Kluyveromyces lactis: one gene and its partners. The main gene of each other region encodes a partner of the protein of the gene in region 2 in a complex. Links are inferred from orthologs where the notes say so. Each region holds a gene or a part of one and is shown on either strand. Other genes may lie near its edges. The genes, in order: TTI2, TTI1 and TEL2.

Evidence for each region.
Region 1: TTI1 (region 2) and TTI2 share a complex: the UniProt entries of both Saccharomyces cerevisiae proteins name them as parts of the TTT complex. The link is inferred for Kluyveromyces lactis from reciprocal best matches to the Saccharomyces cerevisiae genes TTI1 and TTI2.
Region 3: TTI1 (region 2) and TEL2 share a complex: the UniProt entries of both Saccharomyces cerevisiae proteins name them as parts of the TTT complex. The link is inferred for Kluyveromyces lactis from reciprocal best matches to the Saccharomyces cerevisiae genes TTI1 and TEL2.

What each region holds. Positions count from the first base shown.
Region 1 is NC_006038.1:366,569-369,974, forward strand, and holds TTI2 (Tti2p), read left to right. Parts: upstream 1-1,611; coding exon 1,612-2,895; downstream 2,896-3,406. Other genes in the region: KLLA0_B04004g (pseudouridine-5'-phosphate glycosidase/carbohydrate kinase family protein), read right to left, coding at 1-1,335; protein transporter TIM8, read right to left, coding at 3,075-3,338. UniProt on the Saccharomyces cerevisiae protein: Component of the ASTRA complex probably in chromatin remodeling.
Region 2 is NC_006042.1:2,389,821-2,394,007, forward strand, and holds the start of TTI1 (Tti1p), read left to right. Parts: upstream 1-1,294; coding exon 1,295-4,187. Other genes in the region: ETP1 (Etp1p), read right to left, coding at 1-959. UniProt on the Saccharomyces cerevisiae protein: Component of the ASTRA complex involved in chromatin remodeling.
Region 3 is NC_006040.1:1,280,561-1,284,480, reverse strand, and holds TEL2 (Tel2p), read right to left. Parts: upstream 2,587-3,920; coding exon 586-2,586; downstream 1-585. Other genes in the region: HOB2 (Hob2p), read right to left, coding at 1-208; ESP1 (separase), read left to right, coding at 2,887-3,920. UniProt on the Saccharomyces cerevisiae protein: Part of the TTT complex that is required to stabilize protein levels of the phosphatidylinositol 3-kinase-related protein kinase (PIKK) family proteins. Required for telomere length regulation and telomere position effect.

The DNA of each region.
Region 1 (3,406 bases), on a different chromosome or scaffold from region 2:
TGTCCTTTCCGATTCGTTGATGTAAATACCATCCGCAGACATTCCTAGCCCCGACAATATATGCTTTCCAGCAATGTCTTTGCCGACAGCACTGATTAGTGTGGTTTGATGTTGAGAGCTTCGATTACTGTAGTTTGCACTTAACGCAACGTTGTGTCCAACTCCTCCAATAGAGGTTGACGCTTTCCCAGGATTAGAATCACCTTGGTATATATGTGAAGAATTGAAAGTGCACTGAGTATCAAGAGCGACAGAGCCAATTACCGCAGATAGAACCTTTGTCTCCTTTTCATTGCCTGAAGTTTCCTGGCTTGTCATAGTTCCCCGTTGATTTTTAGGCTCATATCTTGGAATAATGTTTTGCTTTAGTTTAGATAGAGAAGCCGCTATATTTGCTGCAATTTTACAGTTGTTCAGTACAAATGAAATATTACATTTAACAGACGCTCCTGAAGTCTTTGAAGCTATCTCCCTGAGTAAAAAAGGTGTTAACTCTTTACCACTAATACCTGCTGCTGCTGCATTTTGGCATGCTTGTTCTATTATATCGTTAATGAAGTTATCATCCAAAGCCACTTCTCTTGGAGGAGGGCAACAGAATAAGTAGCCCGAATTTAACCCAAATTCATTACCATCTCGTATAATTTGTGCAGCTTCCAGATAAGAGTTAAAATTATAAGGAGATTTCACTCCTGAATCTCTAGTATAGAAACCTGGAACATTCGTCCCCGGGGGCCCCATTGTAGCTACCATGCATCCTTTAGTCTCTAAATATTCCATAGTTCTAGGGATATCCAATATTGCCTTTGGGCCTGCACACACCACGGATACAGGAGTTCTTCCTAATTCTTCTAAATCAGCACTAACATCAAGAGTTAGTTCACCGCCTTTATGAACGCCACCTAGTCCCCCTGTAGCAAATACTTCAATACCTGCCTTGTGGGACAAGATCATCGTACTCGATATTGTAGTGCCTCCATAAAGTTTTTGAGCAATAGTATAAGATATATCACGTCGAGAAACTTTATTTACCAGACCCTTCCTAGCATACTCTGCTAATTGTTCGATTTCTCTCGTCTTTAATCCAACTTTAGGGATACCATTAATGAAAGCTGTTGTTGCAGGTATGGCTCCGTTGTTCCTGATTTCTTGCTCCACCTTCAAGGCCATCTCTATATTTTCCGGGTACGGTAATCCATGTGATATTATGGTGGATTCCAATGCCACTACGGGCATTTTGGCATTCAATGCCTCCCGTATTTCATCAGAGACAGACAAATGCAGCCTTCGATGACCTATCCTTTGTACATGAGACCTCACTGAAGTTCGTAGCATCTTGTCCAGCAGTCAATGCTATCAGTTACCAGAATCACAAAAACACTCTTCAGCGAAGAACAACACTATCAGATAGCCTCAACAGTTATCTTCTCTGTTCGACGACATTATATCTTCTTCCGATATCACATAGTTTTCAGATCCATTTATTTTATATGTCATATTTTTGAGAGCTCATCCCAAATTCAAGCATATTGATGATCGTTACCAAGCCTTGCCGAAAAACCTCAAAATATAGCATTTCTAAGGCCAATCTAGAAGCCAATCGATTATACAATGAATCAACATGTGTTGAATTTTTTATTAAACCTTGAGGAAGACAAATTGAGTGTTCCAAGCAAAGATTCAGTAGAACAATTGATTATTTTCTATGATAAGAATATAAACGTTGAGAATAAGGAAGAATGGTTTACCAAAGGATTGGTCAGCTTGTCATACTTTTTGTTAAATGAACACTGGACAAGGTACGAGCAAAGAGATAGAGTAACACATCTTATAGATAATTATTTGGACCGAGATCATGATTTGGTACATTCCTTCATTTCTGCATTGAAACCAATGTTAATAAAATCGACCGGGATCAATAATGATAATTTAACCCCTTCAGGCCGCCGTAAGATTGAAAGCTCCAGACCTGGCCTACAGCCAAGATTAGGCTTTGAACAAACGTTTGGTGAATCAAGATGGAAAGAATGGAGGACTAATGGTGGATTACGAAGTATTGGGTTATTTTATATTATTTTGAGACACTTAGGGAAGCAGGAAATTTCTGCAAACCTACCCTGGATAAGTCCAGGAATACTTAATATAATTGATGACACTACATTAGGGCCAGAAAATGTGAGAGTTTATGGAATTATGTTGCTCTGCACATTACTAGAATCAGTGTTGAACAAGCGAGATACATATAATTTTAATTTCAAGGATACCGGGCTACAAAAGGTATACGAGCCAATATTGACAAACCTTTTATACAACTTACCACCATCCTCAACTCCAGAAGAGACGCTTCGCACATGGAAAGTGACATATCCTGCGTTACAGCTAATATTGAGAGTAGAAGCTTCAGATAACGATCAAGATTTTAGAGATAGATTAGGGCACATGTTTTCTGAGAATATATTACAACTTACTATTCCAAGAATCGGATTAGACTACCCTGGGCTCTCTTTGTGGATTCTTGGCTATTGTCAAGATGTTGTTCTGATGTTGGGGAAAGAAACAACATTATATTTACAGCGTGTGATATACGTTCTTGGGGAATTCTATTTCAGGAATGCGTTCATGACATTACAAATGCCAATTTTACATAAGTGTCTTGATCTATTGATATTACTCTGTGATCAATGTATTCCAGAGAGTATAGTCAATCAAAGGTATGATATCCTAGCTTGCATTCTACTATGCTATGAAAAATGTTACAACGAGGGATCTTTAACAGCAGATGTCTTAGACAAATGTAAAGTATTATTAGCTAAACTCGAATCATTCGGATGTGATTTCAAAGAAGAATCAAAGAAACTGAAGGAGCGTAAATCTCTTACTAATTTATTTGCATAAATACCTATCTAATTCATCACATAAAGAAAAATACTAACCCTGTAACTTAGCAATCCGAAAATAAAACGAACCAGGGGCGGGGCTCACTGATATATGTACAAGAAGTGGAGTCACACAACGAGCTTTACAGGTTCAGGTTTAGCAGGCGCTACATTTTCTTTTCACATCGCGGAGTGAAATTATTGAATAGATTGCAAACCCTTAACAATTCTGATATTTGTGTCCAAAAATCTGTTAACACAGTTGTTTAGGCATTGTTCTTCTTGAGAAGACAAATCAGCATTTTGAACGTTGCTAATACAGTTTTTGAAACAAAGATTGGTGAACTGATGAATAGACATCTGTACTTTTTGCTTGGAATTCTCGGATTCTAAAAAGGTCATGATTTCTTTCTTGGAACCATCATCCAAGTTAGATAAATCGTTTTGTGAGATAGAAGACATTCTTTGTATATATGTGTGGCTCTTTCCAAACTGTAAAGCGGTGCTGGTAACTATAGGATTGGCGTATT
Region 2 (4,187 bases):
TCCCATACCCGTTTTGTTGTCAAATCCATTGCAAAACAATGGTTCGATTGTTCGTAATGGCATATTGCATGTTGAGAATTATAACGACCACATCCAAGATGTCCACAAATTAGACAGATCCAAAGATTGTTCGTTTCACCGCATTCTAGACAACGCGGCAGTGGTTCATTATTAACATCTTTTAACTGTGAGTATCTGCAGACAGGGCAATTACCGTTTTTCCATTGATCTAGGCACTTACAATGGAACGTATGTTGACAAGGGGTTGTGACTAATCCAGTAACTTCGCTGTCTAATTTTTCTAGGCAAACAGGACACATAGGTAGTTCTATTAAACCATCAGATTGTTCTGAACTACTCTGAGTAAACGGATATTTTAACATGTAGGGGAGAGCATCTTTATCTTCACTAAACATTCCTTGATGAAATATAAGCTCCTTAATTGCTACCACATGACATGTTTCTGGATCAATTTCATTGAACTTCTTCCCATCGAAGAGCTTCTGAAACTCTTTCGCCAAGCTTTGTTCCTTAAATTTCATCAAAAGCATAAACCGTCCTTTTTCCTTGTTCATTTTTATTAATTGTAAATGCGTCACTTGATTGGTTGTTTCTTCTCCAATAAACCATCCCAATAGTCTGTTTATGGTCAAGTAGTTTGGAATAAATAGTATGGCTAGCATCCTTCCATCACCTAATTCCCGGTAGAGTTCTTTATCATCAAAGGTACCAACTGATGCGTGGCCATTCTTGAAAAGCCGTATAATACCATGGCCACACCATTCGGATTCGATGGAAACTTTGTTACTACAAGAATGTAAACTTAGCATTGGAATATGGTTCCAACTCTGTTCAATACGAGAATCAGTCTTCCGCTCAAAAGTCAATTTGCCAGACTTAAAAAACTTATAACAATCGTCTAGACTTTCTGTTACCTCGATAAGTAATGTATATTCCATATGGATTATTCTTAGACCCGACAGGTAACTAGTAGGCAAAATGTAAAGTTTTCTGGTTGTACGAAGGTTCGCCTCTTGGCGTCATATTAGCTGTTGCCAGTAGTCATCTCATCCCTAGGAATATCAACAATCGGGATGAGAACCTGCCAAAGGAAGAATGGAAAAAAAAACGATCACGTGATTTTAATGATATACTTAAGCCTTCTCAATGAAATGCATCTTTTACGCGATGATCTGCCTTATTCTCGAAATATATGTTAAACATAACGAGTTACCGTCACAGCTTTTTGACATAGCATAAAAATATATCATCAGAAGCCGCTTGAGATACTACTATGTTTACACAAGGTCAGCATGTTCGGTCAGAACATGCAGGAACTAAAGATGAAGCCTTTGGAAAGATAAAACCAATCTGTGTGAGACTCTCCCAAGTTACCTTCAGGAAAGATGAGCTACTCATATTACAGGATCCGCAGTTAAAACAGTTACTACAAGATTTGATTCAAAACTTAGATATCCTTATAACTAAGCACAAATCGCTTTCAGGGAGGTTTGGAGACTATGTGTTTGTGCCTATCTCTGCAATGTTGAAAACGTGTAAATCACTTCCGGACCCAATTGCAACATTAGTATTCGAAATTTTGGCGAGAATAATAGACGTTTCGTGGAGTTTACCGGCGACAGTGGATCGGAACACATTCTCGCAGCTTCTTTCCCTATCAACCTTTCTAATATCTACCGATCTAGAAAATGTCAACCTTCCCAATAAACCAGACGAATTCAAGATTGCTTCCATCAGACTTTTAAGAGTTTTGTATTCCACAGCAGCTTTCAAGGAATGGGATGCAAATATGCTCCCAGCAATTGCACACTCAATCACCATTTTGTTAACATTATTAGAAAATAGCAATATGTCAATCCAGTTAGAGAGCTCAAAAACACTAAGATTACTGTACAGAGTAATAAATGACGGAGAAATGTTAAGTAATGTGGTTCCCGGAAATGTCTCTACATTTGCTAAGATTCTCTCTCGTCCAGGGTTGACTACTCATGTGAAAGTGGCAAGTGATGTATTATCGACTATGTCAGAACTATTGTGTATGGTATATGGTGACTCTTCTTTGGAAACTTTCATCAAAACGTCTACAGGAAATACTGCTGTTGAAGTAAAAAATCCAGGAAAGCACAGAACTACCAAATGGTTAAATGCCACATCAATTCAATTGAAACGCGCACTTGAACCCACCTTTTCAAAGCTCACTAAAAGGAATAATGAAAAACTGAATGGTGAACTATTTGAAGCTTGTGTTCTACTACTTAATAAATGCCATAATTCACTTTATGGGTGCAGAGAAGTTATACTAAAGACGGCTCTTACAGTAGCAAGGGATAACGTCTTTGCATTAGAAAGATTCAAGAACGATATTGCAGCATTCATGAGAGATAACAATATTCAGGTCGAAACAAACTTCGAAGAAATCAACCAATATAATATTGTGAATAATGCATTAAGAATTTTGGATACAGATCAGCTTGAGGAATATCAAATATCAAAAACTGTTGCTTATGGAATATATGACTCTTTGAAAACCCATTTGTTGAGTTTAGACAAAACAGAGAACATTAATTTAATTAAGGTTACCAGTTCAGAGGTAAACTACTTGGTAACATCGGGATCTCTTAATAATTCTGAAGTTTCCATAATTCCGAAAATATCATCTACAGCGTACGAAAATGTTACAAATATTTTACTGCAACTAGGATCCAAGATGAGCGCCTCTTCAATACAAGAACAAATCATTGAGTTTCTTTCAATAGAATCAGATGTCTTAAAAAACTCAAACGAAGCTCTTTGGATAGCTTCAACTTTATTAACAGGGTATAAAAACACTGACATAAGTGATTTTCTTGCGCATGATTCAGACCCAATCTCCTGCCAATATGACATTATAGAAATGGCAAATGAGCGGGTATCAATTTTATCGAATCAAACGGAACTAAACGAGTTGCAGCGCACCAATTTGACTATGAATTTGTTTGCTATGAAACAAATGATTATTCTAATGGGTAAAGATTTCAAAGATGAAATGTTAGATTACATCTATAATGTCATTGAATGTTTCGCAAGCGATGATGAGAACACAAGATTCATTTCGGGAAATATTCTTCAATATTTGGCCAATGAATTCTACCAGGGTGCAATGCTAAATTTGTTTCAAGATAATGTTAATTACATAATTGACGGAATCTCAGTTAGACTTGACAATTGTCTATTCCATCGTGCATATATGGTTCTTCGTGTAGTGATAAAGGTTTCTGGATACGATCTTGTGGAACGTTTGAATGATATCCTAGAGAAGCTATTTTGGATGTTAGGATATTATCATGGATACGATGACCTCTGCACTGTACTATTGAACTTATTCATAGAGATTTCATACAAGATACAATACACTTTCTTGAGCAAATCGAGCGGACAATCTATCGAGATCAAAACCTGGAACCAGGATTCCTTCAAGCCATGGGGTATGTCTAATATCGAACAAGTATTAAATGTATTGGATCAGGAGAAAACTGCTGCAGATGATTATGGTAGCATTGCTGAGGTAGAACCACCTGAACAGACGGCCGAGGAGTTTTTCAAGGAAAGGTTTGAAAAGGATAGCGATGACGAAGATGAAGACGAAGAAGATGCTGTATCGGAGAACAATTCCTCGGTGAATAATGGGGAGGCGAAAGATGAGATGAAATGGGAGTCCCCAATATCAAGGGATGCCTATATGTTACTTTTAAGGTTTTGGACGTACGCAGACAGGCTCTTAACACATTCATCGCGTTCCGTGAGAAATAAATGCTTAGATCTACTTCTCTTACTATGTCCCATGCTCTCTACACAGCAGGCGGTCTTTTTACCAAACGTTGCCAAAGTCTGGGATATCGTTGTACGGTCAGCCATCTCCGAGGATCTCGCACAAGTTGGTAGAAGTTACGAACTTTTAAACTCTTTGGTTTTACACACTGATTCCTTCCTCATGAAAAGGGTACTAGATATGTGGAAACTCTTTTCTGCAAGGGACACCATGGTATCCAAAATGCTTTCTCCAATTTCCAAATCTACTAGAGTCCACACAACGAACACTTTGCAACTACAAGCATACCTTCGTTGCAGCAAATTGCTTATAACGTGTATGAACCAATTCGGGCTACAATTACCGGACCATATAACCA
Region 3 (3,920 bases), on a different chromosome or scaffold from region 2:
TAAAACTGTAGCCTTTGTAAATAAGATGCAACCAATAAATGCTTCGTCCAAATAAAAATCCAATCTGGAGCTTAGAAATGACAATCCTAGCATTGAAGTATAGTAACGCAAGATTGAATATAATCTGTTGCGTAACGAAAAGTATCGTCATCAATGCCAGAATTGATTTAATGCCATTGAATAACAGCGATATAATATCATATCCCATGTTTCATTGGCTGACGCAAGTAGCTACTTGTTACCCAGATCTAACGTGTCGGTAGATTGGCGGTGAGCAGAAGTGAATGGTTGTTTGTAATGATCAGCGTCTTATTCCGAACTTTTGAGCGTTTTCTTTACCTTAAAAGAGAAGCTTCGGGAAATCACGTGACCAATGCGCTGGGGCACCTAAACTCGTTAACTGCTTATGGGAAAGCAATGAAACCTTTGGTTGCACGCTCGAGACGGTTTAACAGTGTAAATAGGTTATGAAGTCAAATATGTCGAGATATACATTGCGTGTGCAGGTAGTAATTTGATGAAAATTTTTTTTTCCTCTAACCATAGGCTCCATTGAATTCCCCAGATTTTGTCATTCAATGAGTCTTAAGAGGTTTGAACTTGTTGTTTCACAGCATCCGAAAGGATTTCTTGCATCAAAATTTGCATCTCTTCTAGCTCATAATGAGGACTTGCACAAGTTAAAATGATCTTGAGCATAGATATGTAGTGTCTCTTGAACACTTTATCGAATGCACCAAGGTTAATTCCGTTCAACCAAGCATGTGCCAAGGGATAGAAGAAGAGTGTAGCGTACTTCCTAAAATTATTCTGCTGTTGTGTAATCTTACTATCAGTCTCTAAACGTTTTGATCTCCAAGTAACCTTGCTTCCTGTTATTTCAGTAATATCTTGTATCTTATTATTTTCAGGTTGCTGTTCAGTGGCCGATTCATCCCATGGTAATCGATTAGTAGGAAAATCGTATTTAGGTTTCACCACAAATTCATCATCAAAACCCCGTAGTTCCCTTGCACTCAATGCTGCAGATGTCAAGATTACCATCCTTTGTTGCAACGATAACTCGTTATTGAAGAGAATTGCATAAAGATCGACAATCTTGTCTGGACATACAACCAATATGCTAACTAATGCATTAGCCTTCCATTCTTCAAATGATTTTTCGTCAAACTTGTTCGATATGGTGGCTATCTTTTTGAGGAGTTCTTTAGAATAAAAAGATACTTCTGTTGGGAAGTTCTTCTTCTGTCGTACTAACTTCACAGTTTCCTTTAGCAATCTAAGTTCGGACCCATCATTCTTGATAACTTTCTCGAATTCCAGCAAAAGATCTTTGAGGAACAAGATGTCTCTAGAATCTTCTTCATCAGATTCATCGTCACTGTCCTGCAAAGTTATGGTATTAAATTGCTGTACAAGTTCATTCTTTGTAGAGTTCCCTTTTGGCAGATTTTGTAGTCCTTCCTTAATGGGAAATTCAAGTTTGGATAGCTTGATTAGTTCAATTCGAGGCAAATCGATTGTAAAATCGCTTTCATATTGAAGCTGATCATTTGTAAGTTTCTTGGCAACAAACATAGTACGCTCCCTAACCAGATGATCCTCAGAATGAAGTCTCTTGGTGACAAAATTCAAGGAAATTGCATCATGCGATAGTTCATCTCTGGAATCCTTAGACATGGCATCTAATATCATTACCAAGATTTCAGCGAGTGAATCATCTGTGTATAAATCCATCAGTTCAAAACATGGTAGTAATTCTCTGAAGAGCTGTGCACGTTTCGCTTCTGACATACCATGCAAGTAAACAATTTTAAAATACGGATTTCCCCATTTGAAGCAATCTATGCTAGTTGGGATATCGAATGGTAACTGGGATAGTAGTGTGAAAATGGTAGAGCTGTTATCAGGATTAGTTACTTTTTCAAGGAACGGGACCAAATGATACATGAAAAATCTCCTCTGTTGAACTGAGGTCCCCTTTGATAACATCATAATCAAAGCATTCCATGAAAATTCACTAGTAGTAGCAAGCCCTTCAATGAATATATCAACACCATAAGGAATATTGAGCTGTAGACATGAAACGAACATTTCGAGATGCGTCTTATCATATTGCTTCGTCTCTTTAAAGACAAATTCCCATTGCATCTTCATAAACTTTAAATATTCAACGATGGAAATACTGCTGCTTAAAGCGTTATAACATCTGCTTCCAAACAGAATCGATTTGATAAAAGGGAGATCTCTTCTTGACGAATGCTCTAAGTAATTGAATAGACAATCACTCTCATACTTAAGAACATCCGTTAAAAAGCCGTAGAATATTGACGTCTCACGATTCTTACCCAATTCTTTTGCATACTCAATAACCAATGATATGAATATGTAATTATTACCGCATAGCCTGCGTAGTGCCATCTTTAATTCTCTCGGTAGCGATGGATATATTGGTACCACATTCTTGATTATCGGGAGTATTTCGTTACTAGAATGCTGTTTCTTTGATGACATTCGTTCTAGTACCTGATAAATGGTATCTTTATCACATTTCTCATTCAACAAAGTACTATCAATCCCGGACATTGTGCGCTATAATATACAATCTATCACGTCAGCAGCACTTTAGCAGCTTTGCAATGCTTGTCTCATCTATAGGTTTTCATCTCATAGTCTTTTATTCATCTCATATTAAATGTCAATCTTTACAATAACACAAATAAAGAATTGTTTTTGTTTACATATTAGATTCTGTACTTGAAAGTGGCAGATTGCAGAAAGAACTAGAGACTATACACATATCAGCCCGCCAACTTCGTGGATATTGGGTAGCCAGGCTTTAGCCCATACTGTAGTACGTTTGAAACAGACAGCAGTCATATCGAAATGAAAGGTGTCTTGAGTGATATGAAAGTTGACAACAGAGTTAGAAGACCGTTAAACGCTGGATCAACAAAATACGATACGGAATGGCAGGCTACGTCAAATAGTTCGAAGATAACTACAGCACAGGAGAATAATACCAACTCCCTGATTGACTGGAAGAAATTGTACGATTTTGTGGATAATAAGAGCAAAGATTTTGAGAACTACATTCAAGTAAATGATAGTTTCATTCAGTTATATCGCCAATTGATCTGGCGTCATCAGTTGAAGAAACTTCAGGAACTTCCGAAAAAGCATATGAATTGGATTATTTTTTTGATGGAGAGAAACAAATTGACACAAGCTAGCAATCAGATCTTAATGCTATACAACGAAACCAATTTAATTAAGGCCAAAGGTATTGATGACGTTTTGTTAAGTGATTTTTCTGCGGGCAATGAGAATTACTTAGCAACATTAAAAGTAATAACAATGCAGTTGATATTGAAAACAGGAACGACAGAAAGACACGCGGAAAGTCTTTTGGAATGCTTTGCTCATGATACGCGATACCTTCTGAAAGACCCTAATGTGAAAGTCCACGCTTTGGTGAAGCTAATATTAAACTTCTTTACATTGCTAACTGGATTCAAGCCTTTGTTTGGACTCAAATTCGTTCAGTATGTGAATCAGTTCAAACTCGAATTTGGTAATTACATAAAGAATATGGATTCTTCGACGTTTCAAAGACAAATTACCAAATTACTTCGAAAGGATATATCTGTAAACTGCCACATCTATTTACCGAAATACTATGATGAGTATACGAAACATATGGAGAACGATCAAGTGAACTTGACCGAATTTTTGAGGACTGATGTTATAGGTAAGGACGTTTGCACGGAAATAAGAAATCAATTGCGCCTCCAGAGTTTTTCTGCAGGTAAGATCGATGCACTTCTACGACCTTTTTTGTATCAAGCTGCCTTAAACAAATCATCCTCGAGATTGTGTGATAGTCTAATCATTTCTGTCAATAATTCCATTAAAGACCT